Callithrix jacchus: one gene and its partner. The protein of the gene in region 2 interacts with the protein of the main gene of each other region in a pairwise test. Links are inferred from orthologs where the notes say so. Each region holds a gene or a part of one and is shown on either strand. Other genes may lie near its edges.

What was found.
Region 1: the proteins of JAKMIP2 (region 2) and CLIP4 interact in binary tests that used the Homo sapiens proteins (3 or more experiments, as listed by UniProt). The two-hybrid records come from large-scale screens. The link is inferred for Callithrix jacchus from reciprocal best matches to the Homo sapiens genes JAKMIP2 and CLIP4.

What each region holds. Positions count from the first base shown.
Region 1 is NC_133515.1:85,915,310-85,931,254, forward strand, and holds part of CLIP4 (CAP-Gly domain-containing linker protein 4), read right to left. Parts: intron 14,530-15,945; coding exon 14,411-14,529; intron 7,159-14,410; coding exon 6,922-7,158; intron 5,194-6,921; coding exon 5,058-5,193; intron 1-5,057.
Region 2 is NC_133503.1:46,334,695-46,351,179, forward strand, and holds the start of JAKMIP2 (janus kinase and microtubule-interacting protein 2), read right to left. Parts: upstream 7,727-16,485; 5' UTR 7,472-7,726; coding exon of another isoform or gene 7,469-7,471; intron 1-7,468.

The DNA of each region.
Region 1 (15,945 bases), on a different chromosome or scaffold from region 2:
GGGTAGCAGTGGAATTACACAGATCTCGGGGTAGCAGTGAATTACACAGATCTCGGGTCTATTTTTAAAAAGTTTTAATAGACCAAAACAATGAAATTCCATCCTAAGAGTGTGATGAAAGGAAACTAGTAATTTTGATAAATTCATAATAGCCAGTAGCTCTCATCTCTTCAGTGCTTCCAAGGAATCGAGCACTGTTCTAGGTGCTTTATACGTTTACCAACACATTACCAAACTTATCATTTTCTACAGTTAAAAAATCTAGTATGTACGAGAATTAACAGATCAATAGAACAAAACAATCCTGAAACACACCATAGCATTAATAAGAACTTCATCTATAACAAAAGCAGCACCATAAGTCAAAAGGAAAAAGAGGATAGATTTAGAAAGAGAGAAAATGGTTGCTGAGAAATTTCTTGGTTTCTAATTAGCCAGGAGATTCCCCAACTCCCCTCCCCTCCACCGTAAGTAGCTTAGCAATGACCTAGAGCTCCCAGTATTGTCAAGGGCTACGCCCATTTTCACACAATCCAACACAAGACCCCAGCCCCACATCTTGCCTTCAGGTACATATAAGGTGACAGAAGCAGCATCCTGGGGGTATCTAGCTTTGCGCTAATCAAGCGTGTCTCCCCTTGTGACAATGAAAGGTTGGGAGTCCCCACTCGATCTGCTGGCAGTCTAAATGTTTCCTGTAATTCTGATTTACCTCTGCCCTGTGTGCGGCTAAAGGCTTCTGATCCTGCCCTTAGTCTGCTTGACAGGTGGCAAAGTAATCCATCGGAGGAAAATTAAAATTAAATTCTTAACTTCACACTACTGACCAAATAAATTCCAAATGGATTACATAATTAAGTATAAAAAATTAAAACATAAATTACAGCTAGACAGGAGGATAAGTTCCAGTGTTCTACAGCACTGCAGGGTGAAGATAATTAACAATTTATTGTATATGTTCAACAAGCTAAAAGAGAGGATTTTGAATGTTCTTAGCACAAAGAAATGATCAATGATTGAGGTAATGGATATCCTAATTACCCTGATTTGATCATTACACATTATATTACACAGAAATATCACACTGTACCCCATAAACAGGTACAATTATGTGTCTAAATAAAAGGAAAAATTAAAACATTTAAAGACATATAAAATGTAGAGGTAATCCTTAAATTAGGAGGAATTATCAAAGCATAAAACAATATAAGAATTTATAAAAGCAAAGTCTTTAAGCCATAAAGCTACATGTCCACAAAACACCGCAAATGAGGTTCAAAAACAAATGACAAACTGAGTGAAATATTATATTAATATAAAAGCTTAATATCATAAGTATGTATTTTTAAAACTAATCCCTTTTTAAAAAAACACTCTAATATCCTGATTTTTACTGGGAAAATAATATGAATAGGCAACTGCCAAGAAACATAAAAAATATCTATACTGCAAGGCTACAGTAATCAAAACAGCATGGTACTGGTACCAAAACAGAGAGATAGACCAATGGAACAGAACAGAGGCCTTGGAGGCAATACCACATATCTACAACCATCTGATCTTTGATAAACCTGACAAAAACAAGCAATAGGGAAAGGATCCCCTATTTAATAAATGGTGTTGGGAAAACTGGCTAGCCATGTGCAGAAAGCAGAAACTGGGCCCCTTCCTGACACCTTACACTAAAATTAACTCCAGATGGATTAAAGACTTAAACATAAGCCCTAACACCATAAAAACCCTAGAAGACAACCTAGGCAAAACCATTCAGGACATAGGCATAGGCAAGGACTTTATGACTAAAACACCAAAAGCATTGGCAACAAAAGCCAAAATAGACAAATGGGATCTAATTAAACTCCAGAGCGTCTACACAACAAAAGAAACAATGATTAGAGTGAACTAGCAACCAACAGAATGGGAAAAAATTTTTGCAATCTACCCATCTGACAAAGGGCTAATATCCAGAATCTACAAAGAACTAAAACAGATTTACAAGAAAAAAACAAATAAACCCATTCAAAACTGGGCAAAGGATATGAATTGACATTTTTCAAAAGAAGACATACATGAGGCCAACAAACATATGAAAAAATGCTCATCACTGTGTATTAGAGAAATGCAAATCAAAACCACATTAAGATACCATCTCACACAAGTTAGAATGGTAATTATTAAAAAATCTGGAGACAACAGATTTGGAGAGGCTGTGGGGAATAAGAACACTTTTACACTGTTGGTGGGAGTGTAAATTAGTTCAACCATTGTGGAAGACAGTGTGGCGATTCCTCAAGGACCTAGAAATAGGTATTCCATTTGACCTAGCAATCCCATTACTGGGTATATATCCGTAGGATTATAAATTGTTCTATTATAAGGACACATGCACACGAATGTTCATTGCAGCACTGTTGACAACAGCAAAGACTTGGGACCAACCCAAATGCCCATCGATGATAGACTGGAGAGAGAAAATGTGGCACATATACACCATGGAATACTATGCAGCCATAAAAAAGGATGAGTTCAGGTCCTTTGTAGGGACATGGATGAAACTGGAAACCATCATTCTCAGCAAACTGACACAAGAACAGAAAATCAAACACCGCATGTTCTCAGTCATAGGTGAGTGTTGAACAATGAGAACATGTGGACCATCACACACTGAGGTCTGTGGAGGGGGAACTAAGGGAGGGACAGCAGGGGGTGGGGAGTTGGGGAGGGATAACATGGGGAGAAATGGCAGATATAGGTGATGGGGATGGAGGCAGCAAACCACATTGCCATGTATGTACCCATGCAACAATCCTGCATGTTCTTCACATGTACCCCAAAACCTAAAACACAATTTTTAAAAAATCTATACTACAACAAAACACTTTAATAAGTCTTTAATTTCACCACAATAAGAGAAATACAAATTAAAATATAAAATTTTCATCCATCAAATTGGAAAAGTGAAAGGAAATACAGCTATTCAAAATCACATTTTCAAACAATATGTAAAGATTTGGGGATATTATACTAGGATATCAAAAAATGCAGAATTTTTTTTTCAAATCTTATACAATGCGCATTTTTATAAACAAACAAAAAAAGTTTTAATTGATCAGAAAAATGAAATTCCATCCTAAGTATGTGATGAAAGGAAACTAGTAATTTTGATAAATACATAATAGCCAGTAGCTCTCATCTCATGAGTGCTTACAAGGAATCAAGCACTATCCTAGGTGCTTTATATGTTTACCAACATATTTAATCCTTGCACAAGTCCTCATGATAGTGTCATCCCCATTTCACAGAAGACAAACTGAGGCACAAGAAGAGAAAGAAAGTCACATAGCTGATAAGTAGAGAAATCGATTCACACACAGGCAGTCAGACTCCAAAGTCCATACCCTTCATCATCATCACACCACTCCACCTCGCCATCAGGCCACGAGATGAATACTACACGATCATGGAAAATTATGTTATAGAAGAATATTTCATTTCCAGGAAAAAAATTCACAACATAGTAAGTGACTACAAAATCAAATTGAAATCAATAGACAGGATAAGTGCGTGTGAGAGAGAAAGAATAAATTTACCTAAACATGTCAGAAAGAATTTACTTCAACATTTGTCAAAATTTACTTAAACATTTGCCTTTGTCAGAAAGAGAAAGAAACCTCACGGATGGGCACGGTGGCTCATGCCTGTAATCCCAGCACTTTGGGAGGCCAAGGCACATGGATCACAAGGTCAGGAGTTCAAGACCAGCCTTACCAACATGGTGAAACCCCCGTGTCTACTAAAAATACAAAAATTAGCCAGGTGTGATGGCACACACCTGTAATCCCAGCTATTCAGGAGGCTGAAGCAGGAGAATTGCTTGAACCCAAGGAGGCGAAAGTTGCAGTGAGCCAAGATGGTGCCATTGCACTCCAGCCTGGGCAACAGAGGGAGATGGACGAACAGACGGACGGACGGACGGACAGAGGAAGAGAGGAAGAAAGAAAGAGAAAGAAACCTCGCAGAGTTTCAAAGAAACCTCAGGAGTGCAGTCAAGTTGGCCTTGCTTGATTTTTCCAATTTTCCAAGTTCTTCATGACCTCCAAAGCTCTGTACTTCCTTGATAACCAAGTCCCTCTCTCGGCCATGACACCACCAGGAGCAGGATTTAAGGGAGGTCTGCAGAGTTGGGCATGCCCCTGGTCAGAGATTATCTCCCAATCACTATGCTGCTGGCTACAAGAATATAGGGCAGTCCCACAGCTCACAGCTTACTGATGAAAACACCTCTCTCATCACTATCTCCCCTCTAAAAGCCACCCAAGAGACCAGTCCCAAGAAAGACACTTTCTCAGAAACATCATCAAGGCAATCCCATCAGATGCCCTCTTTTTCACCAATCACTACCAGACAGCTTCCTAAACCCTTCCATCATGACCTCTGAAACTCATGGTTGGCTGGGTACAGTGGCTCATGCCTATAATCCCAGCACTTTGGGAGGCTAAGGTAGGCAGATCACCTGAGGTCAGGAGGTCGAGGCCAGCCTGGCCAACATGGTAAAACCCCATCTCTACTGAAAATGCAACAATTAGCCAGGCATGGTGAAAAGTGTCTGTAGTCTCAGCCACTTGGGAGGCTGAGGCAGGAGAATCACTCGAACCAGGGAGGCAGAGGTTGCAGTGAGCCAAGATCGAGCCACTGCACTGCAGCCTGGGTGACAGAGTGAGACTCCATCTCAAAAAAATAAATAAATGAAATAAAACAAAATAAATAAAAAGTGAAAAGCAGTGCCTGATCTAATGCAAGGGTCTTATACTGAATTCCGTTTCCCTTTCAAATTTTTCAGGACATTCCCCCTGTAATTGTCCCCTTTCTCTCCTGCAATGTCCATTTCTCCCTCTCACATCACCCATCTCCCATCTTTAAAAAGCTGTCCCTACATCCACATGCCCCTCATTTATCACGTAAGTAATCAGGAGAAAAGTTTGACTTAACAACTGTAAAAGAGTAAAACTGGATTATTTTTAATTAGTTCTTACTGAGTTAAATAATGTCAACCTTACCATATTTGGGGGCACATTTAAAGTACTGCACTTTTCCAACACTTCCATTATTTTTTCCTTCCGGTTCATCCAATTCAACGCCAGCCCACTGCCCACTTGCAAATTCAGTGGTTCCACAAAATCTTAATGTACCAACCTAAAGAAAATATAAGTCAGAATAACTTTAGGGAATTATTAGTAATTCCAAGTGTCCTACTCTTGCAATTTTACTTCACCATGAAAGTTTTTAAAAATTCACTCAAAGTGAATTTAAAGAATTTGCTCTTTCAACATTACCTTTTAATCCTTGGTAACACTCCTTGCTCTGAAGTGAGAGCTCACTTAAGTGGTCAGAGAGCACACTTCAGAGCAAGGAACATTACCAAATATAAAAAGGAACATTAAATAATAAAGGAGACAATTTCCAAGACATAAGAATCCTAATTAGCTGGATAGTAGCACACGCCTGTAGTTCCAGCTACTCCAGGGGCTGAGGCAGGAGGGTCGCTTGAGCCCAGGAGTTCGAGGCCACAGTGAGCTATGACTGTACCACTGCACTGCAGCCCGGGCTATAGAGTGAGACTCCATCTTAAAAAAAAAAAATTGGGCGTAACCATGTTGGGAAATTCAATATCCAGGCAGGAATTCCCTGTTCCATTCTCCACACCAAGCTCCCTATTAACCTCTATATTAAGAAAAACCAAGAAAACCTCCCATAGGAGATATTTTTTAAAAGAAACTGGCAATAAATGATGCAGTATGGAAACGAAAGCTTGGGAGGAGAAAAGGGTGTGGATGATGGGAGCAGGAGTCATCCTCTTCTCCACATAAATCCTTCTCACCAGATTATATAGTATCTCGGATTGCCCTATTTGTGGAGAACTCAAAGACAAATACCCACAAACAGCAAAAGTGTCTTGTGCTCAATTTCTATGGAGTAGCAGCAGTCAGAGAAGCTGCACTGGGGGAAGAGGGGGACTGCAAAGAAAATCCTCCACCCTAGATCATCCCTCAGCTCATGCCTCTAAACACACTCAAGAGTTCTACTCCACTCCATTCTATTCAAATAAAGATGTCTTCATTATTAAGTTCAGGTAGTTTATATTCTTAAAGCATAACTTAAGAGTAAATTTGTATCTAAGTTTTACACTTTCCATTAAGTATCTTTCTACCTACATGTTGGACCTTTTTTTAAAAAACTCAAAACACTGACCATATGTGCTATAGCTGGAACCTGAGCAACGCCATTTTATAAAAGACAAAGCTGTTTTCCAAAAATAAGTTGTAATGGCTGCCCCATTCTCCTCACAATGACTGCTTACCTTTTCTTATCAGTAACTACCTGAATTGCTGGCCTTTGCTTACCGGTAATGATCAGAATAAGCAGCCCAAGCTAATTCAATCCTGGCCCCTGCGACTTGTAATAAGTAACTACGATTTGTGGATTCCACCACTGCCCAGATGATATGTAAACTAACGCTTATCTTGCTTCTGTAACCACTTAGGTTACAATCGAAGTGACAAGTCCCCTAGCCCTTGGAATGTCCGGAGACCTGCACCGTCCTCTCTGCCCGGGAAGTGATTTACAGAATCCCCTGGCCCTCAGAATGTCTGAATCCCCTCACCCCCATCCCCACCCCACACCCTCACCCCGGAGGTGGTTTACAGGCATAAAAGGGTCTTGTCACCCTCCTTTCCAGGCCACGGGCTGGAGAGACGCGAGTCCTCCGTGGTCACCGGCAATAAAGACTCTGCAATTTGGCATACATTTGTCTTGGTGTTAATTTTATACTCGATCCAAATACTTCACATACTGTATGCACCCTTGAACACAGGTCATGGACACAGTGACCTTGGCTTTAGAGACTGCAGTTACTTATTGTACCTTCTGTCCTGCAATAACAACACGATCCCCCAACTTCAGGCCAAGTGACGTAAGCATTGCCTTGCCAGTGGCGTGACCGTAATTTGGAAGCATGGCCTTTGAGATGTTACACGACAGAGGCACCGCATCTAGGAGCATCTGCTTGACTTCCTTAGCAGCGGCGGCAGCATCAGCCATCTCCAACGGCATATCTACTGGGTCCGGAACAACATCAGCAGGGATCTGTCCTTTGTCATTCTACAAATAAAGGTGAGAGAAAATGTTCAACTCTTATTTACTTAGAGCACTAGAAAGTCATATAAAATTTCTGTCGAGGAATTTTACATTAAATTCATTCATTATTTGTTTATTCAAAAACATTTCCTGAACACCTGCAATATGCAGGCACCATTCTAGGTGCTAAATAAAGATCCTAGAGCAAAGAAAACACAAGCCCTGCCCTTGAGGAATGTTACATTCTGGTGGGAGAGACAGATCACACAATATGAAACAAGTAAATTATATGTGAGAAAATCAACAGTCATAAGTGGCTAGGAGGAAAAATAAAAGAAAGCAGGGAAGGGGGATAGGAAATGTAGAGACAGAGATGGTTGTAGGGGAAACTCTTTAGACTAAGTGGTGAGGAAGATCGCACTGATGAAATGCCTCTCCACAGAGATCCAAAGCAGGCCAGGGAGGAGCCGAGCGGGTTCTCTGGCAGGGAAAAGCACCGCATCCCCATCCATAGGGAGGAGCAGTGCTCAGGTCCTAAGTGGAGAGCAGCCTGCCGGCACAGGCATGAGAAGGCAAGCTTGGAAACAGAAGCCACAGAACTGACTGGCTTCCCAGCCCCAGTCGACGCTTCCAGAACTGCTGCGCTCTTGGCTCTGCGACCTCAGACTCCTGCCCACTCATGGGGTAATTCAGATTTCAAAACTAGAAACTATGGTTTTGATATTTCTAAAACCTAGGCTATAATCAAGGAAAAATAACTCTGTTTTCACTACAACGGAAAGACTGTATCCTGGGACTTAACCTGTGACAAAATAAAATGGCCAGCGACCACCTCACGGTCATTTGCAATAGTATCTCTATCATCAAAGCCCTATCATGTAAATTATCTGTCTTCTTACATTCCCTAACCACAACCCTTAGACTTCATGAGAAATAATCTAGATACTTTCATTAACTGGGAAACTTTTTCCCTTTTCTTCACTGATGATAATCTTCTTCAAATGATCCATGTGGAAAAATGAATGAGTCTCTTAGAATACACTTACTTTGTAATTGCTTCACTTTTTTTTTTTATTTAAAATTCAAGTCAGGTTGGTCCTTAGTAAAAATATGGCAAGAAGATATGTTATCAGATTTCTAGGATGGTAATGAACTCTTTTAATCCCAGATTCCAAGAAAACATACAAAATATAACAAAGATATGTGTTACACTAATGTATACTCTCTAAAAAACACATTCAGGCTGAAGAGTTGTAAGCTATGCTTACATACAATTCCCATATAATTCAGCAATCAAAACTTCTGTTAAAAAAAATTAATAGTAAGAATAAAATTAAAACAGTATCTTCCTAACATAGGAAGGTTAATTCATGATCTATTGTAGAATTCTATTTTCTTCTCAAATGGTGGCATACCACCAGACTGGCCCTATAAACGATGATTAAGGGAGTTCTACACATGGAAACAAAATACTACTACTTGCTGTCAAAAAAGCATATGCAAGCACAGTCTATGGTCTCCATAAAGCAGCTACACAACTGACACTACGAAGCAACTAGCTAACAACACAACAGGAACAAAACTTCACATATCAATATTAACCCTAAAAGGATTAATAAAAGGTGATCAAGGGAGTTCTAAACATGGAAACAAAAGAATAATACTTGCTGTCACAAAAAGCGTTACCTAAGCATGTAGTCTATAGACTCCACAAATCGAGACTAGAAAGTAGCTAACAACACGACAACAGGAACACAACTTCACACATCACTATTAACCCTGAACATAAACAGCCTAAACACACCACTCAAAAGACAGAGTGGCAAATTAGATTTAAAAAAAAAAAGAAAAAACCTGTCCTTCTGCTGTCTTCAAGATACCCATGGCACACGCAATGACACCCGTAAGCTCAAAGTAAAAGGCTGGAGAAAGATCTGTCATGCAGGGTGTCACTATCCTTTTATCAGATAAAACATACCTTAAGCCAGTAACAGTCAAGAGGGACAAAGTAGGGAATTACATAATGATAAATAGTTCAATTCTACAAGAAGACTTAACTATCCTACATACACACACACCCAACACTGGAACACCGAAATTTATGAAACAATTACTACTAGACTTGCAAAAAGACTTCAGACAGTTACATAATAATAGTGGGTGACTTCAACACCCCACTGAAAGCATTAGACAGATCATCAAGGCAGAAAACAAATTTTCGACTTAAATACGGCACTTGAAAATTAGACACAATCGGCATCTAAAGAATACTCCACCCAACAGCCACAGAATATAAATTCGGTTCTCATTTTCACATGGAACATACTCAAAGACTGACCAGGTCATAAAGCAAGTCTCAACAAATTCAAAAACATCAAAGTCATACCAAGCATCTCTTGAACCACAGTGGAATAAAAACAGAAATCAATACGAAGATGAACTCTCAAAATTAAACAAGCACATGCAAACTAGAAAACTTGCTCCGGAATGACTTTTGGATAAACAACGAAATTAAGGCAGAATTCAAAAAATCCTTTGAAACAAATGAAAACAGAGACCAAGTATACCAAACCTCTGGGATGTAGCAAAAGTAGTGTTAAGAGGAAAGTATCAAAACGCCTGTATCAAGAGAGATCTCAAATTATAACACTGCACCTAAGGGAACTAGAAAAATAAGAACTAAACTCAGAGCTAATTGAAGAAGTAACTACAATTGGAGTACAACTAAATGAAACTGAAACCAAGAAAAGCATTCAAAGGATCAGCAAAATGAAAAGGTTGTTCTTGGCCGGGCACGGTGACTCACGCCTGTAATCCCAGCACTTTGGGAGGCCTAGGTGGGTGGATCATGAGGTCAAGAGATCGAGACCATCCTGGTCAACATGGTGAAACCCCATCTCTACTAAAAATACAAAAATTAGCTGGGCATGGTGGTGCGCGCCTTTAGTCCCAGCCACTCGGGAGGCTGAGGCAGGAGAATTGCTTGAACCCAGGAGGCGGAGGTTGCAGTGAGCCGAGATCACGCTATTGCACTCCAGCCTGGGTAACAAGAGCGAAACTCTGTCTCAAAAAAAAAAAAAAGAAAGAAAAAAGTAAAGGTGGTTCTTTGAAATGACAGGATAGACTGCTAGCTAGATTAACAAAGAAAAAGAGAAGATCCAAACAAGTACAATTGGAAATATTAAATGTGGCATTACAACCAGTCCCACAGAAATGTAAAATATCCTCAGCAACTACTGTGAATACCACTATTCACACAAATTAGAAAATCAAGAGGAAATGCATAAATTCCCCGAAACACACAACCTTCCAAGAACCTGGAAGAGAATGAAACCCTGAACATACCAACAATGAGTCACAAAATTGAATCAGTAATAAAAAACCTACCATCCAGAAAAAGCCCTATACCAAAGGGATTCACAGCCAAATTCTACCAAACATACAAGGAGGAACTGGTAACAATCCTACCAAAATGATTAAAAAAAAAAAAACGAGGAGGAGAGATACCTCCCTAATTCATTCTGTGAAAGCAGTATCATCCTGATACCAAAATCTGGCAGAGACACAACAGGAAAGAAAACTACAGGCCACTATCCCCGATAAACACAGACGCAAAAATCCTCAAGTTACTCGCAAACCAAATTCAGCAGCATGCCAAAAAGGTAATTCACCATGACAAGTTGTACAAGGAGGCTCAACGTATGCAAATCAATAAACATGATTCACCACATAAAATTAAAAACTGTATGATCATCACAATAGACACAGAAAAAGCAATCATACATTCCAACACTCCTTTATGATGGAAAAAAAAAACCTTCAACAAATAAGGCATTGAAGAAATATATCTCAAAATAGTAAGAGCCATCTACGACAAACCCACAGTCAACATCATACTGAATGGGCAAGTTGGAAACATTCCTTCTAAGAACTGGAACAAGACAAGAACATCCACTCTCACTATGCCTATTCAACATAGTACTGGAAGCTGTAGCCAGAGCAATCAGTCAAGAGAAAGAAATAAAAGGCATCCAAATAGGTAAAGAGGAAGTAAAATTATCTCTCTTCACCAACAACATGGTTCTATATGTAAAAAATTCTAAAGGTTCTGCCAAAAAACTCCTAGACCCAATAAACAACTTCATTAAAGTTTCAGGACAAAAAAATCAATATACAAAAATCAGTAGCATTTCTATACACCAGTAACACTCCAGCTGAGAACAAAATCAAGAACACAATTCCATTTACAACAGCCACAAAATGATAACAAAAATACTGAGGAATACATCTAACCAAAGAGATGGAAGATCTCTATAATAACTATTAAACACTGCTGAGAGAAATCAGAGACAACACAAGCAAATGTGAAAACACTCCATGTTCATGGACTGGAAGAATCATATCATTAAAATATCCACATTGCCTAAAGCAATTCCTATCAAACTTCCAACATTGTTTTTCACAAGATTAGAAAAAAACTGTTCTAAAATTCATATGGAGCCAAAACAAAGAGAGCCCAAATAGCCAAAGCAATCCTAAGCAGAAAGAACAAAAGCCAGAGGCATCCCATTACCTGACTTCAAATTATACTACAAGGCTACAATAATCAAAACAGTATGATATTGCTACAAAATAGATAGATACACCAATGAAACAGACTAGAGACCACTGAAATAAAGCCACACACTACTAACTGATCTTTGACAAGGCTGACAAAAATAAACAGTAGGGAAAGGCCACCCTATTCATAAATGGTGCTGGTAAAACTGGCTAACCATATGTAGAACAATGAAACTGGACCACCACTGCTCACTATATACAAAAATCAACTCAAGATAGATTTAAAACTTAAATGTAAGACCTCGAACTATAAAAATCCCAGAAGAAAATCTAGGAAATACTCTTCTAGCCATTGGCCTAGGCAAAGAATATATGACTAAGTCCTCAAAAGCAAGGGCAACAAAAACAAAAATTGACAAATGGGACCTAAAACTAAAGAGCCTCTGCAGAGCAAAAGAAACTATCAACAGAGTAAACAGACAACCTACAAAATGGGTGAAAATACCAACTGTGCATCCAACAAAGGACTAATATCCAGAATCTATAAGAAAGGTAAACAAATCATCAAGAAAAAAACAACCCCATTATAAAGTGGCAAAGAACATGGACATTTCTCAAAGAGGACATATAAGCAACCAACAAATATAAAAAATGTTCATCATCATCAGAGAAATGCTAATCAAAACCACAATGAGATTCTCTCTCACACCAGTCAGAATGGCCATTACTAAAAAGTCAAAAAATAACATGTTGGTGAGGTTGTGGAGAAAAGGAACATTTATACACTGTTAGTAGGAATGTAAATTGGTTCAGCCCCTGTGGAAAGCAATGTGGAAGTTTCTCAAAAAACTAAAAACAAAATTACCATTCGACCTAGCAATCCCATTACTAGGTACACAGCCCAAGGAAAATAAATCATTTTACCAAAAAGACATTGCACTCATAGGTATTTCACAGCACAATGCATGGAATCAACCTAGGTATTCATCAATAGTGGACCGGATAAAGAAAATGTGGTACATATACACCATACTACACAGTCATTTAAAAAATGAAATCATGCCCTCTGCAATGGAATGGATGCAGGTGGAGGCCATTATCCTAAGCACATTAATGCAGAAACAGAAAACCAAATACTGCATGTTTTCACTTATAAGTGGGAGCTGAACATTGGGTACACACAGACATAAAGATGGGAACAACAGGCCCTGGGGACTCCAAAAGACAGGAGGAAGGGTGTGAGGGAAGGAGGTAGAGAAGGGCTGGGGCTTGAAAAAGTACCTACTGGGTTCACTGTTTGGGTGAGGCATCAACAGGAGTTCAAACCTCAGCACCAGGCAATATACCTGTTTCACAAACCTGTACATATACTCCCTGCAACTAAAATTAAAAATTAAAAAAATAAGATGGTAGCTTATTAAACTGTGATCTGAAGACCACTGCTGACTCACATGTTTATTGCTTTTTTTAAAGTAGTTATTTTCAAAATATGGCAACCTATTAATCTATTTCTGGCCTAAATTGGTAATTTAGCTCAATAACAGATCTCATGGCATCCTAACAAATTCAAACAACACTAATGGGGCTGATTGACACTAATGACACTGAATTGTCCCCACTAATGGGGCTTTGTCAGCAGCTGCACCAGCAAAAGCAAACACACCCCTTTTGCCTTCCAGCTGGACTAAATGATCATCTCCTAGGCTTCTTGCATGCTATTCTCTCTGCTTTCCTCACCTCCCTCCAGTACCTGGTTAATTCTTGCCTACGTAAGCACTCGATTTCAATGTCGCCCCTGTTGAAGCCTTGGGAAGATGACTCTATGGCCCTCTGCCACCCCCATCCCATTGTATCACACTGAATTAGCACACTACAGTAAAACTGACTGCTTCCTTGTCCCACCTCCCCTCTGCAATACATTCTTTCTGAGGGCAAGTGCTTTATCTACATTATTGTAGTATTCTCCCAGTGCCCAATAAACAATAGAGTCAGAAGGAAGGGATGGAGGAAGAGAAGAAATTAAAAGTTGGGGGGTAATCAACGGGGTTAAACAAAAGAAAACTGGCAAAGAAGTAGGGAAAATGGGAAAAAATAGGAAAGGGAAAAGAAGACAGGTGTTTTCAAATACTGCACACTATCCACCGCCTATACCACCCCCTTCAAGGGAAAGCATGACATAATTAAGAATACCTGCCAGAGCAAGTTATTGTTATGAATAGAGGATGTGAAAACTGAGAACCACTTTCTCAAAAAAAAAAAAAAAAAGGATCTGAAGATTATGAAATTCAATCCTGTGTAACTCTGTAAATTGGTGAAATTTCACTATTTTAAAAAATACACTTTTCCTTTCCAAAAAATTTGAAATATGATTTAACAGAAAAATAAAACTTTAATAGATGTATTTGTACGGCTAACTTTTCATAAATACATCAAAATCCTAAATGAAAGGTACTTAAACTCAAAGATTATGACAGTTTAAGGAAGAGTTTAGTTTCCTGAATGGAAGTTACCAATATAAAAGAAAATTTATCATTATACCTTATATTTATTTACAATAAAGATCATCACTCTCTACATGTGGCACAAAGATATAAATTACTTGCTCATATAAGAGATTTTCTATTAATAACAACATTCAGATTCAACACTTCACCAGAAAGCAGGATAAGACTTCTTAATTCTTTTAATATATTTCACTTTTAATTTAACCTCTTACCCTAAATGCAGGATTTGCTCCTTGCTCCAAGAGGCACTTCACAGCACCTGCACACAAGTTGTACGCTGCAATATGCAAAGCTGTTCCAAAATTAAAATCACTGCAAGTGGCATCCACATCTGCAATTAAACATCACAAGTGCATTAGCTAAAATTTTAAACTTAGCTATTATAATTTAAAAGAGGACAGCGTTTTAGAGGAGGGACTTTTATTATTTATAAGACTTAACCCACTAGAAGCACGATTTCACAATAGAACAAAGTCTTTATATTACAATCTAGTTAAAATAAGCAGTTGATTATTTTCTTAGTACAATAAAATTCATTATAAGATAGAGTGATAACCCGGGTTTTCAAACTAGAACGAACTAAAACATACTTTAAAACGATTAATGGCAATAATCTGCATTTGTGAAAGTAACAGCTTATCACAATCTCCCATTAAGTCTGTTGTATATTTGCCATGACAACTACAGTGAGGTAGAGTAGTAGAGTTTAGTTCAGGGGTCAGCAACCTATGACCCACAAGGCAAATCCAATCCACCTGTTTTTATAAAGTTTTATTAGAACACAGGCACAGTCATTCATTTACATATCCTCTGTGGCTACTTCCATGCCACAATTATGAAACTGAGTAGTTTCATCAGAGACTAGGTGGTCCAAAAAGTCTAAAATATTTGCCAGCTGGCCCCTTACAGAAAGAAAAAACTGGCCAACACCTGGTAGGTAACACAAAGCAGAATTTCAAAGTCTAATTAAACATAGAAATGCTTATCTATAAATTAATTCATTATACTCTACTGAACAAATGAATTTGAATTTCATAATAAGTAATTTTGCAACTCTAAGGACATTTTAATAACTTTTAATATAGTATCATATGTTATACTTAAATACAGCAAATCCTCCAGATTTGGGAATCCCATCTTGAATATTTTTGATAACAAGGGTTTAAATATACCTCTGGTTCTGCAAATCCTACCCTCAACTAAACGACACCACGCCCACATACCCTTCCTACAACTGCAAACAACCCAGATACGCTAAAGACAAACTCTCTTGAATTATTAAAGACACAGTAGTGTCGACAGAGGCTTTCTTCCCAACATTATTCAGAAAGTGAAAAGGTAGAATTTTAAAGAGAAAATGGACAATTATGCAGATTGGCGGTTAGAAATGAACATTCTGGGAAATTCATCTATTGAAGCTCTAAAGCATGTTCCTACAATGGGGAAAATATTGTACACTTTCTTTAACTTAAAGTTAATACAATTTATTTGCTCTCATATTTTTCTAAAAAAGAAAGAAAAGAAAATTGGCCCCCAAGAGGAGAACCAGAGAGAAAATCAAAATACCAGGACTGTGACTCAAACATTCAGATCTTCCATTTCAGGATATCATCATCAAGACAGGGGAAAAAAACTGAAATATCCCTTAAGTTGAATTATGTAATTTCAGGACCAAATACCGCCTAAAATAAATATCCTTTATTATTCCAATGCCAATCTCTGAAGACCTTAATGTTCTATTTCCGGC
Region 2 (16,485 bases):
AATTTCCTTCTTGAAAATAATATTGAGTGGTTTTCTAACTATATAGTGTCAGCTAAAATCAGTCAGATTTGGTTTTCCACGTATATTCTAACTGCAGCTGAACTCCAGAAATTCAAGAATTGCAGTAAGTGCCATGATCTTGATTTCGATTCCAAACAAAGGCAACAAAAGCTTTTTCCTCATACTTAAGTTACAGCCTATCAGCAGGCTAGACACCCATATAAATGTCTATCCTCAGAGGTTCAAAAGCATGTCCTTGTGTCTGCTAAGCTAACCCTCTTGTTCAAGTCACTCTTTTTATATTTGATTTCAAAACTTTCATGAAAGCAGGATGCTGCCTTAATTTATCTTTGGAGTAAGATGCATTTCTGATTCAACTTAATTTTTGGATGGAGAGATGATAGAATGATTTGTTTATGATTAATGAATTCAGTAGAGTTGATTTCTAAAATAGCACAATAGCTGTGAAGGTGTATCATGTAATTTGGAGCTTATAATAATTAAATTACTAACTTATTTTAATTAATCACAGTGAATTAAAGGTATTTGTTAATGATATCACTATTTCTGACTTGCAATTCAGTTTTGAAAAGAAAATGAAAAGAGCCACGGAAGTGTTCATAGCCTTTCTTACTTATGTCATAGCATGTAGTGAGCAGTCTTTAATCATGTATATTGTTAAGTATTGTGATATGTTACCTTTAAGAATCTGATTTTGCCTTATCAAAATCATAACAATATCCTGAGGATATGAATACAATTCATCTTGTTTTTACAGTCAAATTTTAAAAAATGAGAATCACAGTCAAAAGAGCTATTAGTTGAAGTCTCCTTTACAATCTTAGGCTAGGAGCCCTGTAGGGGACTCTCATTCTTTCATTCATTCTGTCACTCTGCCAAATAGTCTTTATTGAGCATGCATGTTGTATCAAGGCATTCATTACAACTGGTGAACAACACAGGTTCATTTTCTGCCCTCATGGAGCTTACATTCTAGTGATGAGTAGGGAAAGCAAATAATAAATAGCTCTGTAATTACAACTTTTTATACATATTATGAAGGAAACACACAGGTTGGAGAGAGTAATAGGGGAGATATACCTAGGGAATTCTTTCCAAGGCATTATGTTTGAAGTTCAGACTTAAAGTTTAAGAAGAGTCAACCATTCACATTCAAAAAGGGGAAAGACTCAGATGACTGGGTTTTTATTTGAAAACTAAGATACACATGAATTCACTAGGAAATAATGAATATAGTGAAAAAATAGCAAAACTAGATCTTGGTGATATGGGTTGGCCGTGTACCCACCCAAATGTCATCTTAAATTGTTGTTACCATAATCCCCAAATGTCGTGGGAAGGACCCAGTGGGAGGCAATTGGATCTTGGGGATGGTTTTTCCCATTCTAGTCACATGATAGTAAGTTCTTTCATGAGCTGATGGATTTATAAGGGGCCTCCCCCTTAACTCAGCTCTCATTCTTCTCCCTCTTGCCACCACGTGAAGAAGGACATGTTTGCTTCCCTTTCTGCCATGATTGTAATTTTTCTGAGGCCTCTCCAGCCCTGAGGAAGTTTGAGTCAATTAAACCTCTTTCCTTTATAAATTACCTGGTACTGGGTATGTCCTTATAGTAGTGTGAGAATAGACTAATACACTTGGTTTATTCTGAGAAGACACTTAAATATCTTCCCATAAAGGAGTTGAGTTGCTTAACCAAGGATAAAACTATAGGACAGGCAGGGCATGGTGGCTCCTGCCTGTAATCCCAGTACTTTGGGAGGCCCAGGCAGGCAGATCACTTGAGGTAAGGAGTTTGAGACCAGCCTGGCCAACATGGTGAAACTTTGTCTCTACTAAAAATAAAAAATTAGCCAGGAGTGGTGGTGAGTACCTGTAGTCCCAGCTACTCTGGAGGCTAAGGTGCAAGAATCACTTGAATTTGGGAGGTTGAGGTTGCAGTGAGCCGAGATCATGCCACAGAACTTTAGCCTGGGCATCAGAGCAAGACCTTATTGAAATAATAATAATAATAAATTAATTAATTAAAAAATTAAACTACAGGACATACCACTACAGCACACTGGGAAAACTAATATGAATCTGAAAGAGATGTGTTTTAGTTTTTTGTTTTTAATTGTTGCTGATGCATGCACCTGGAGAAATTCCTAGTGACTTCAACAGGGATTTCACTGCCTTGGATTCAGAACTTATTCATTACCAGCAGACAAGGAATGACCAATGTTAATTTAACACCCATTGTAAGATGCAGTGGCAGGTCAGGGTAACAGAGTTCATATTTCCTGAATATAATGCTTGACTCACAGTTGCTTAAAATCAAGCATGGTCTACCTGTATCATGAGAAGTATTTAAAGGTAAAGAGTGAAGACTCCCACGTGAAGGAAAAAACAGCTTGAATCATCAAAAAAATGTACAAGGAAATTTAAAATTCAGTAGAGACGTATTTGTTGACATGGATAGATGGCCACTATACATAAAGCAAAAGCAGTATAAAACAATGCCTAGAATATGGTCTATTTATGAAACTGTGTGTCTGCATGTGTTTCTGTGTGTCTACACAAAAGTATCTAAAAGGAAATATTCTGAAACGCTAACAGTAATGATTTCTTGATGGTAGGCTTATGAGTGGTTCTCATTTTCCTTCTACACATTTCTGTGTTATCGTTTTCCACTATAAGGATGTATTATTTTTAAATATAAAAAGCTTTACGCCACAGAATTTACTTGTAGTAGTGAATAATGATTTAAAGAAGAATTTTTTTAGTGTGACAGGTCTCATTTTTACTGCATGCTAATTAATTTTCAAGGACACTTTTTACAAAGGTAGAATATAGTTCAGATGCCATGATTTGCTATTTGGCCAGGGCTGAATTACCAAATTGTCACACCAGTATGTTGCTAGGCCATTAATGAAGAAAAAGAGACACCAGAAATTAGAATATCTGAAAAACACATAAATATTTTTGATATTTCAGAAAAATGTAGAAGCATTTGTTCAGAGAAAATAATCAAAAAATCATTGAACTGATGTACACTTATTTTATGACAATATCATTTTTACTTTTAAGAATGTGTAGGTGGAGAGATAATTAGGACATATAGGTAGGAATGGCAAAACTTTTTTCAAGATTCAGGACCTATAGGAATTTTAATCTGATCCTAAGCATAGAAAAATGGTCACCTACTAACCTCTATGTCATTAAAAATAACAATATCTATCTATAAAATAAGTGCATATTGGTCCAACAAAGTTCTGATTTTCATGCAAACAAATGCTTCTAGGTTTTTCTGAAATAGCAAGAAGGCTAGATTTTCTCTAAAATACTTTTTTTGTGTGAGCCCCCCCTTTTTTTGGCAAACTCAATACATTCAAAGAACAAATTATGGTACCTGAAATAGTGAACTAAAATGAGCCACACAATGCAGATTTGTAAATTGAATTAAAATTATTTTACTAATTAAAATTCAAATTGGTAAGATAATTCACTACCTTTCTACTATGGTAGTTTGTACTCATGAAATTAGTGATCCATCCTGTTACACCATTCACCAAACACAAATCTGAACAAATCTAACCTCCCTAAATCTGTTCCCATTTATTTTAAATAATTGTTATGACACTGGATTTGCTGATATGATTGAATTAAAATGATAGAATAGAAATTGAAACTGATAAATATAAAATGAAAAATAAAGAATGGAAAAATGACAGAATTATATAAAATTGTATTAATATAAGGTGAAGTGATGGTACTAATTACAACTATATTGTTTTCATCATTAACTATTTCCTGGGTGTAGATCTTATATTCTCCAAGGAAATTCTTTTGTTGCAACATATGCAACGTCTCCTAGTCATATAAAAGCTCTACAAATAGTTGTTAGTTAATTGATTAATTTATTCTGTTTGAAAGCACATTTTTCCCTTGATAGAATAATAGTGGAATTTGTAAACAGAGGGAATTGTAACAGACTTCAAAGAGTAACAACCAAGTATAAACCTAACTTTTTATTTCAGTAAAAGCCCATTATTGTGTTATTTATGTTAAAACTTCCACAATAAGACTCCAACCATGAGAAACAAAGCATTGATTTTTGATGAACCCAAAATAAATATAGAAAACTATTTTACTCTCCAAATATTGGCTAAGTCATTCTGAAGTCAACTTGCAGAAGGTAGATAAAATAAAAATATGTTCTGAAGTCACTTGAAATAAGAAATATCCTATTACAAAGTGAGAAAGTAATTAACGTGTGTCTTAATTAAAACAAGTTTTACTAAGGCTTACATACCAATCAAAATATTTAACTTCAATATTCCAAAATGAATGACATTTTTAAGGTAGTGTTTGAGTGGAAGATTAGTTTGTTAAACAACACATTTAAGCATTAATTTGTACATATCTTTCAAAAAATTTGTTTTTTTTAAAAAAATCAACTTGATGGTTCTTAAATTATTTTGTGTCAAGACCCCCTTAAATAACACATTACATTTTTCAAAATTAACCATACAACAGAAAATAATTTTAATATAGACATTTGACATCACAATCCAAAAAGTTGCTGAGAAAGGCCTCTGTTAATGGGTAAATGTTCAGTTTCCTGCATTCTGGCAGAATTACATGTAAACTTCTCTAGGAAGACAATCAGTTAATTTTTTTACAAATACCTAGATCCTGTAATTTAGAAGCCAACTACAAAATGGAGTCTTACTGTTATAATCTAGAAGTGCCTGATCTTAAACAATGAACATACTCTCTTAAATAAATGACTTCCTCTAGAAAAAGCAAGAGAAGTTATTGAGAAGGAAATCTAGTCCATCCTAGACAAATGCATATCTAGGTCATACTTACGGAGGTTTTGATGAGAAAAGAGTGAACTGCTTTATCTGATTAGCCAGTTGACTACTCACACATACAATGAGGAACTTCTACAATTTTATATTTCTAATATTCATAATTCCTCATAAAGTTGAAGCCCATTGACCATATTTGAGGTTCCAAAAAATAGCGATAAACAATGTCCTATGCTTATGCCTCATGTTCAGCTTATCTGAAACAAATAATTGTCATATTTCAGTTTTCTCTTCTCCAAATGAGATAATCCTAGTTTTAAAAGAATCTTTCCTCAGAGAGTTCACCTTTTAGTGCTTAAATCATACTTCACTTTTCTGTGGCCCCTTAGCAAAGGCCATATAATTGTCTTAAATTGTGGGGTCAAAAGCTAGACCTGTATTTCTATCAGGGTAATAGCTGACACTAGGCAGAAACAGGCTATCTACAAGGAGTTTCAAGCACATGGCCTAAGGGATTTGCCTCTGTTTGAACTGTACCAACTTTGCCTATAAAATCACATCCTATAAAAACTCAACAAAAACAAAACCCCAGGATATCTCCTTTCCTTGCATGAAATGGGGTCAACTAGTACAAATCTTAATTTTTTGAGTGTACTATAGACATATCTAACATTTTAATTTTTGGAAGTCAAGAATTATCACTGAAAGATTCAGGATGCAATGTTTTACAATTTTGATATAACATACAAGCCCAGTATCTCTTTCCTTGCCCTACTTCATATAGTTGTTACAATTAGGCGCACGGTAGCAGGAGTTTACAAAGCTGTGGATCTATAACATATGGCATGCTATGAGCACACGCACAATTAAGTCACTAAGGCCCCTTCTCAAGTATAAACCAAATAGAACAATTATTCTCAGAGAAATTAAACTTTAAATCTGATTCAAATACATATGAAAACTATAAATGTGGGTGGGGGTGTATGTAGAATCATATGCAAGGTTAAGCCCCAAACAATTGTTATTTTACATTGTAAAAAATGTCTATACTAACAGCGATATTGTTAGAGAAGAGATTAATGGATAAAACCTTAATAGCCCATGTGGTGAATGTAATATTACTAATACATTTTACCTACAAAATGTTTCTAGCTTTAGTTCAATGAAATCCATTATCCTGGGTGGGAATGGAACCTCCTCATCTCCAGCATCTTTAGTCTCCTGAGCTGCCTTAAAGCCTTGACATAATAAAAGGTCAAGCAGATCCCAATAAGCATTTGTAAACTACAATAGCCCCCCATTTCAGCTACAAGCCACACATTTTCCTGCTCAGCTTTGCTCCCTCTCTGGTTTCATTTCATTGTATAAGCAGACTAATTTAGAAATGGCTGGGCTAGGTACTTGGGAATAGCTAGATTTTCAAAACAATCCTACTTTCCTACTTAATCATTTGCAGAAGGAGACCCACAATACAACATTTGAGACAACTGTAAAATGGTGCCTGGATACTGAAGGAATGAACAGCATATAGCAGCACTATTAAATAAAATGAATGCATTTCACCTTCCAGCTTAGCTGTGCTTCCTGGGACACAAGGCACAAACATGAAAAGGTTGGGGTGGCATTTCCAGAAAACTGATTTGCTCAAACATTTACTTGGCAAGACGCTAGAAACAAAATAATACCACAAGCCGCCTCCCTTTCCCATCATTGTAAATTTGGTGTCCTCAATATCACCCCCCACAAACCCAATTAAAAATAAAGAGGCAGGCTATGAATTTGCATCTAGTTCTATGATACAGATCAAATGATAGGCATCTCTTCCAATTGGTCACAATAAAATTAAGAGACAACAACAAGAGTAAATTTCACATTAATCCAAATGAAGCCAATGAATAATAATACAAACCAGAAGCATAGTTTCAAAAACATGCAATTACTTTCAGGCATGCAAGGACATATCTAACCCATAAAAATGATTGCAAAGCACACTCTACATATAAATATCTTTCATAATTGCCATATAAATGCTAAGTAATGTGTGTATATATGATATGTATATCCATAAGATATACATGTATAAGTTCACAATCAAATCTATGTATAAAATAAAACTGGTTCTGGCAAATGATTTCTCAATAAGAGTACATTAGAATATAAAATAGAATGTCGAATTCTAGGGCCACCTTTTCTAAACAATCAATGAAATAAGCAAAACCACCTATCATGAGTCTAGGAAGCTTATGAGACACCAAATGTGTTTCTGAAGAAGGCCCAACCCTGTATGTGAGAGCTGCAAATGAAACGATTCCTTTCAATAACACCCTCTTCTTGTTGTTAGCTCCTTTTCCAACCCCTGATGCTGTTGCTAAGCTTAGGAAAAAAGGCACCAAGTGGCTCAGTCTGCATTCTGAGCCAGTTAGAGATAAAATCAGAACATCAAATTTTTTTTTTTTAACACAAGCGGTTGCCTTCTCACTTCTGTCTTCCTGGCAACCTTCCTCTCCCTCCATCCTCATCTCTGTCTCCACATCTCCCGCTCCTAGTCTGAGGCACGGGAGTCATTGTTCAAGTTCAGGCCAGAAATGTATACACAGGTCAAATAATAACACACTAAACCAAGAAGGGAGCCCTACTGTTTCCTACTCACCATGCTGAGACTCGGAGAAGCTGTTTAAAGGAGGGAGAGATGCAAACTGAATCCATTTTCCTTGTGACCGAGTCGGATGCAGCCTCCGAACCCAACATCAGCAGCGGCTGCCGTTTTTTTTCTCTCTGTTTCTGGTTGGCGATGGTGCGAATAGGAACCACCCTTCCAGCTCCACTAGAGTATCAGCAATAGAGGCGGCGGCAGCAGCAGCAGCATCACCAGTTGGGCCTCCTCCCTCTCGGAGGATGGGGTGAGCTCGGAAGCAGCCAGGAACTTGCAGCAGACACCTCCGCTGGCTCCTCCTCTCTCTCCCCCTCCCCCAGTACCCCACCCCTGCTGCGGTAGAGGCTGCTGGGCTGGCAGCTGCTGGTTGCCGTGGCAATGACCAATGATAAGCGACCAAGCTAAAGGGGAGGGGAGATGGGCGAAGCAAGCTGCAGGGTCTGGAGGGGAGCGAATTTGTGCTGCTGCCCTCTGGGATGCTCTTGATCTCTCCTACCCTAGACTCCAGGTCTTTTAAAAAATGGGGCGAGGGTGGATAGGCACGGGACGAGAATAATTAAAATTTAATTGAAATCTAGGTCGAAACATACGAAACAGCTTAGCTGTTTTTTTCATTTTCGGTGGTTTTCCAATAAAATGCACGAAATTTACCATCAGATAAATGATAACAAATGTGGAGAAAATTATGTAGCATGACAGCAGATTATTATTACTTCCAAACGTGTTGATCCTTTATAGCATCTTTACTCAATACCAGGCAACAAGGTTGTTAGAAAGCAAACGGAGTGGCTGGACTTCGTAATAAATTAAGAGTCTGCTTGATTCCTTTGCACTACTTCCGGCTTAGTCTCAGGTGAATTACTTGGTTTTACTGTTTTTCCAGCTGCCCTTCTGAAGAGGACCTGGAGGTATCTGACACTTCCCTGAGGAAAAGTAAGTTGGACTAGAGGAGACTGAAATTCCTTTCAACAACCACTATTCTCGGTAGCACCAGTTGGTGGACAGTTCCCAATCTTTTTTAGTGTCAAACTCCTGGAGCGTTCCATTTCCTGAAGACACTTCCTGCCATTTTCATGGATGCCCTTTTCGAGTTCCGAAGTCAGCTGGCAGTCAGGGTGGTGGGTATGAAGAGGGGAAGTGAAATCAGTAGTGTCGAGTTCTAGGCGAGTTCTGTTTCTAACTATACATTATAGATGACACTAGTATTTATCGCGTGCAGGCGTTGTAAAGGTTGAATGAGATAATGCACTAAAAACACTTGCATATAGTAATCATACAGTGTACAATAAAGATTACTATTGTGGCATAGTAGTAGCCACCTCTTAACCTAAGGGTTTAAGGGGAATTACTTGGCAATTTCAGGTAGGAGAAAAAATTAAGTGAGAAAACACAAAATACGTGATAGCCATGGTGATGACGGCGAAGACAGAGAGGCCCTAAGAGATTGAATGTTCTACACATTTCGATATTTGAGGACATTGTAAAACTCAGAGGAGTTAGATACATTTCCTAAATTCACAACTGATAAACGACAGAGCCAGAATTAAAATGGACTCTTATAACACTCACATTTACCCTCCTGACCACTACACTTTTCTGCCACTCTTCCATAAAATGGAAATAATATCTGTTCTTAATCCACAGAGTTATTTACAGGTAAAAACGGCATTAACACAAGTTTCAGAGTCAGACGATCTTGGCTCCATTCCTAGTGCCAGTATTTACTATAGGTATAATTTGGAACATATATATTAACTTCCTCAGATCTATGATTCTTCATCTGTAAAAAGAAATAATCATAGAATCTCATGAGTCATTATAAAAATTAAACTAGATGATGTGTATAAAATGTACAGTGTTTAGCAGATAGAAAATATTCAATAAATGTAGCTACAGTTACTTTTTACACATTTGTAAGTGACTAATATTAAACCATGAGAAGATGGATGTTTTCCTGCATGGTGTCACTCTGGATGTCAAGAGCTTATTGTAATAAAACTGACTTGAAGATAACTAGGTGATGGGGGAAAGGGTTGCAGCTCTTCCCCAGCAGTTGACCCTGGCTTCCCGTCCACTTGGTGGGAAAGCCTGCCTCCTGCTTTGTGCAGCTAGTGTCCCCTGCCTTATGTCAAAGCCTCAGCAGCCACACAGCCTGCACACACTTCCAAGTCAACATCACATATGTGTGATGTGTAGCATAAAGGAATAGGTTGTGATCATCTCACTTCATTTTGCATTCCTGTATTTTATCTTCTCCACAGAGATGGTCTTGTAAGTAAGCAAAGCAGGAAGTTGCAGGCTATAGAAGCTGTGACACACTAGATGACAGAACCCTCCACACAGCATTTCATCCTTTGCTCCAGGAGCTGACTGGCTAAGGGTGAGTGATTCTAGTTTTCTCCTCTCCTCCCATCAACATAAGACAATTGGTCAAGAGTCAATCGGTGGGGAGAAAAGTTTGGTATTTCCTATTTGAAGAAGTCTCCAATTTAACCACTCAAATATGACTTTCTTATTTCTTTTTGGTCACGTCCAGGTAGCACCGTTATCATTACTTAATAATAGTTTTCCCTTATTTATTGCAATTATTTCTGATTTACTTAATTTGTTATTTATTCATTTTTAAGTGAAATTTGTCTCTGACTTCAGCAAAACATAAATGAAAATTGACATGGTAAAGATGACGGTCCAGGTCCAGTGGCTCACATCTGTAATTCCAGCACTTTGGGAGGCTGAAGCAGGTGGATTACGAGGTCAGGAATTAAAGACCAGCCTGGCCAACATGGTGTAAACCCGGCTCTACTAAAAACCTGGCTCCTGTAATCCCAGCTACTTGGGAGGGTGAGGCAGGAGCATCACTTGAAACTGGAAGGCGGAGGTTGAAGTGAGCTGAGGTCATGCCATTTGAACCTTCAGCCTGGGCAAAAAGACTGAAACTCCATCTTAAAAAAAAATAAAAAGAAAGAAAGAAAGAGATAATGGACCCATAAGAAGCAAATGAAAACAAATTCTTAAGAACTCAAACAGATTTACAGGAAAAAAACAAACAAGCCCATTCAAAAGTGGGCAAAGGATATGAACAGATACTTTACGAAAGAAGACATATATGAGGCCAACAATCATATGAAAAAATGCTCATCGTCACTGGTCATCAGAGAGATGCAAATCAAAACCACATTGAGATACCATCTCACGCCAGTTAGAATGGCGATCATTAAAAAATCTGGAGACAACAGATGCTGGAGAGGATGTGGAGAAAAAGGAACACTTTTACACTGTTGGTGGGAGTGTAAATTAGTTCAACCATTGTGGAAGACAGTGTGGCGATTCCTCAAGGCCTTAGAAATAGAAATTCCATTTGACCCAGCAATCCCATTACTGGGTGTATATCCAAAAGACTATAAATCGTTCTACTATAAGGACACATGTACACGAATGTTCATTGCAGCACTGTTTACAATAGCAAAGACCTGGAATCAACCCAAATGCCCATTGATAATAGACTGGATTGGAAAAATGTGGCACATATACACCATGGAATATTATGCAGCAATCAGAAATGATGAGTTTGTGTCGTTTGTAGGGACATGGATGAATCTGGAAAACATCATCCTCAGCAAACTGACACAAGAACAGAAAATGAAACACCGCATATTCTCACTCATAGGTGGGTGATGAAAAATGAGAACACATGGACACAGAAAGGGGAGTACTAAACAGTGGGGTCTATTGGGGGGAAAAGGGGAGGGCCAGTGGGAGGGGGGGTGGGGAGGGATAGCCTGGGGAGAAATGTCAAATGTGGGTGAAGGGGAGAAGAAAAGCAAAGCACACTGCCATGTGTGTACCTACGCAACTGTCTTGCATGCTCTGCTCATGTACCCCAAAACCTATAATCCAATAAAAAATTAAAAAAAAAACAAATTCTTAATTTTTTTAGTAAAACAAAGACTTCAACTTTATTTATAATAATTTTTAATTAAAAAAAAATTCACACCTCTCTTTTACCATCCCCTCTCTTACCATGCTCTATTTTTCTATATACTATATATAAAATTAATAGTAATATACCATATGATAATATAATACAGTATGTTATCATATAATATAATGTAGTTTAATGTGGTATGCTATACTATAATATGATGTATAGCATTACTACTATATTATATATTAGTAATATACTCTATTACTACTATACTATATATTAGTAATTACTCTATTACTACTATATATTAGTAATATACTCTATTACTACTATATATTAGTAATATACTCTATTACTACTATATTATATATTAGTAATATACTCTATTACTACTATATTATATATTAGTAATATACTGTAGTTTTTGTGTGCTATTAAATTTCTTTATTTGTTTCTTCCTGTTAGAATGTAAACTATTGGAGAGCAGCGATTTTTATTTCTCTGTATGTGACTAGTGTCTGGGCTATATTAGGTGCCCAATAAATATTTGTTGAAGGATAAACCAGTAAATCAATAAAGGAACAACTTTCTGCATTGAATCATGGTTCTGTAATTTATAATAATACAATTTGTTCAGATAATATACTGTTGATATTTCTCACAATTAAATTCTGAGATAATTATACTAGTTACCTTATTTAGCACACATGCATATTAACATAATGTTTATCTGACACAGATTTTAAAAATACATAGTTATTAAAGTAAAAATGTTTGCTCATGTATGAAGTCATCTAACATGTTTGAAGTCATGTTTGAAGTCATCTAACATATCCTCACTACGTAGGCATGATGTTTTTTGGGAAACACTGATTTTCTTCTAAGAATGGTGTTAATTGTGACCAAACTGTCTGCCTCTCCTGGGACTTTTCCAACTTTGACTTCTGAATTCTGTGAGATGTCTGAAAAAGCACAGGGTATGGGTCTTGGCTTCAAAAGTGGCATTAAAATTTCAGGAGATAACACAGTATAATGGGAGGAAGCTGCAAAGTGTGGGCTCTGGAAACAGACTTACTGATTGAGTCCAGGCTTTACGATTTCTCTTCTGAGTGACCTTGGAAAAGTTGTTTTATTTATTTATGGCTCAGTTTCTTTATCTGTATGACATTAGAGCAGTACCTACCCCACTTAGTTATTGTTCTGTGTGATTTGTTTGCACTGTGAAATATCATTTAGTAACTCATAGTGTTTGTGGGGCAGACATCTGGGAGTGGCTTAGCTCACAGCTTCTGGCTCAAAGTCTCTCATGAGGTTGTAGTTAAATGGTTGGCTGTGGTTGCAGTCTCATATGAAGTCTTGACTGAGTTCAGGGATCTGCTTCCAAGATCACTCCCTGGGTTGTTGAAAGTCTGTGGTCCTATTGAGTTGTTTTTGAAGTTTGTGTGTGCAAAGTATTAAGGAGTAACTGGCATGTAATAAATGATAAATAATATCAATATTCTTATAAACACAATGTTATTAACTATGGTTATGCCTAGCACATTTTTCTGGATGTTTCCAAATCAATCAGATCACTTGGGATTATTCTAAAAGCTTGCTGTTATGGCTGCAGACCAGCCGTCAACAGATAATGAGGAATTCTGAAGATACTTATCTCATACTTAGTCAAAAGCCTGATTTTCCCCAAAAGAAGGCAAAGACAAAGGCATTCATAAGTGACTGTTGTTTGTCTTCTGCCTCCTTTATAAGAGATTATTAATACATTATATATTTACAGAGAACATTAAATGTAAGCAGTAAGGATCTTCTTGAGTTTGCTAAGAATAAGGATCTCATTCTGACCTCATTGAATGTTCTTTATCAATAGTTTCAGTATACAAATATATTAGAAGAACTCTCCTATGAACTCTACACTCTATGGTCAATGATCTGACAGATGACTTCCTGCATAGCAGGTAGACACTTCTGTGTTTGCTCCGTCTAGTACCACCTGAGGTTCCTTTGCTGCCTCAATTCTTCAACCTTTAAAACTTAACCATTACTTTCTTCAGTGCATCTTTACTGATACCAGGATTAGCATTGAAGCAAGGGTTTCCATTGTACCATGATGCATCTTAACTACACTTATGATGATGAATGGAAAATATTCTTTTCTTTGTCTTTCTCTCTGATTTTAGTGCAAGCCTTTTGAGGTCAAGGTTAAAGTTCATTCATTCACTCATTGTTACTTAATCTAAGAAATATTTATTGCTACTTGCTATTGCACGCTGTTACTAAGTATCAGAGATGTAGCTATGAGTCAGGAAACATGAGAACTCCCCTTATGGAGCTTATGGTCTAAGAGGAAAGAGAGATTACATAATTACTTAAAATAAATTATGTTGAGCACTACAATAGAGAAAATCGGGCAGCTCTGACAGCAGATAAAAGAAAAGTACAATGTAGTTTGGAATCCCAGGGAAGATATTACTGGAGAGATTGTGGGGTGAAGTGGAAGCAGGTGGTTTAGAGTATGCATGTAGGTCCTGATATGCTTAAGAACATGGCATGCTGCTCAAGTGTTGTTTAATCCTGATTCCTAGCACAGAACATGGTTCCCATTATGTGCCACCTACGTGTTTATCAAAATAATCTGCCTTCTCCATCTCCCAACATGCATAAACACACAACTTCTTTCCTCCATTTTTCTTCTGTTAATTTACTTAGGGGATTAGGGCTTGTCAATAGCTATGGAGCTGACAAGCCGTGTGAGATAAGAATAAATGAAACCAGGCCAAAGGATTAATTCTTCTAACCGTAGAAAAAAAGTTATAATGTTCACAGCAACCACTGCTCCATTACAGATTTATTAAGTCATATTCGCATGATAATACAAACCTTTGCTCTGAAGCTAAAATGAGAAGCAGTTTTTCCCTTTCAGGTCCTGGACAGTTGTATATTACCGTGGCAGATAACACGTGGGCCTAGGTTACCAAAACATCAGGGACACCAAAGAAATGAGAAAACGTCTGTTTCAATGACCTTTCCCAGAATTTTACAATCCAGAAATTCTACAAATAAAAGCCAGTTTGATTTTAGTATAAGCTTTATTGTAACTGTAGTTTTTATTTTTAGTTATTTATGGGAAGCACCATACTTTTCATAATTTTAACAGTGCTTAGGGACTCAAAATGTCTTATTACAGCACTGGGAATAGAGAACATGAGCCAGAGACTACAGTAAACACATGAATTCCAGAGAAAAAACAGACATGAGCTTTTGCTCTTGTGGAGCTTAGAGTCAAATGTGTGGGATAGCCAAAGAACAAAAAATAAACCACTAAAATAGTAGCAAATTTTCACAAATACTAGGAGGTAAGGAATGAAAGGATGAAGAAGGACTGAGGGTGGGGAAAATGAGAGTGAGTCACTGAGGAGTGACATTCAAACTGAGAAATGACATTTGAATTGTGCCAATCATGTAAGAGCTGAGAAGAGACAGTTCCATGTGGTTGGATGAGCTCTGAAGGGCAAGTTAGGAATAAGAAATACTTTTGAAGGCTGAAATATGGTGAACAAGGGTGAAACTGGCATGAGGGGAAGTTTAAAAGGTGGGCAGGGGTCAAATTTTGCAGCACCTTGTAGCCCATTGTAAGTTAGTTGGAGTTTTTCTTAATTGCAATGACCCGCCATTGCAGAATTTACATTTAGTTTAAAGCATTGTGGGAATGAACTAGTGGTGGGTGAAAATGGATGCAGTTAACATGCTACAGTAATTTAAGCCAGAGATGATACTTATTAGATTAGGGTTGATATGGAGAAAATTGGATGGTTTCAAATGCATTTTAGAGGTAGAATTCTGGAGATGGTTGATGAATTGGATGTTGGGGTTGAGGAAGAGGGAAGTATTAAAGTTGACTTCTAAGTAAACTACTAACTTCTTCCATTTGGAAGGATACACTCTCAAGTTTCAGTTATTACCTTCTGTAATGAGGAGAGGCCTCAGAGCTCTGGCTTTGGGAAAATGTGGAGAAACTTGAAGGTGTTCTAAATGCCCAACTTGTGGGACCCCTTTTTCTGCCTCCCCAGGTTTAGTGCTTTTGAGAATTAGGCATGAACAATTTGTCAGTGGATCAGGCAAATCATCACTGAGCTTATGCTACTGCAGTGAAAGCAACTTCACTAAAAAGGGTAGGTGAGGCCTGGAGGAACATCATGATTTTCATTCAGAAAATTCCTAAGGACCTTAGACGTGGGTTGCCAGTAAGAAATGGCCTTCCTCTATCTACTCAGAATGTGTTTCCTCCCTCAGCTAGCTTGGCATCTTCCTCGACCACAGTCCTGATCCTGTTACCTTCTAGCTACATGACCTTGTAACTATATCTTCTATGCCTCATCGTCCTCATCTATGAGGCCAGGACAATAATTACCTTTGCTATTAAGTGGAGATTTAAATGAATTGTGTTTGTAAAGATCTGAGCACATGTCTGGCATGTAGAAGGATCTCTTTAGTTCCAGCTGTTCTATTATATAACGCCCTCCCCCAGATATGAATCTTCCTTATAAAAGTCTTGAGAGCCCTAGTCTTTTCCTTCAGGACTTCAAGTGTTTGAAAAATTTTTCTAATACCTTCCACCTCAAGACCCCCAGATTATCTTTTAGGTACTTCAAACAGCTAAGTACTTATTTTCCTTTGAAAGACATGCCAGGTTGGCTGGGAGCAGTGGCTCACACCTGTAATCCCAGCACTTTGGGAGGCTGAGGCAGGTGAATCATGAGGTCAGGAGTTTGAGGCCAGCCTGACCAACATGATGAAATCCTGCCTTTACTAAAAATACAAAAATTATCCAGGTATGGTGGTACACACCTGTAGTCCCAGCTACTCAGGAGGCTGAGGCAGGAGAATCGCTTGAACCCAGGAGGCAGAGGTTGCAGCACGCTGAGATTGCACCACTGCACTCCAGCCTGGGCAACGAAGAGAGGTTCTGTCAAAAAAAAAAAAAAAAAAAAAGACACACCAGGTGCAGAGAGACTGATGGACAAAACGGTTGTTGGAAGGTGGAGCTTACAGATTTCATGGTCTGTCTCACATATTTACGAGACAGCTTTCT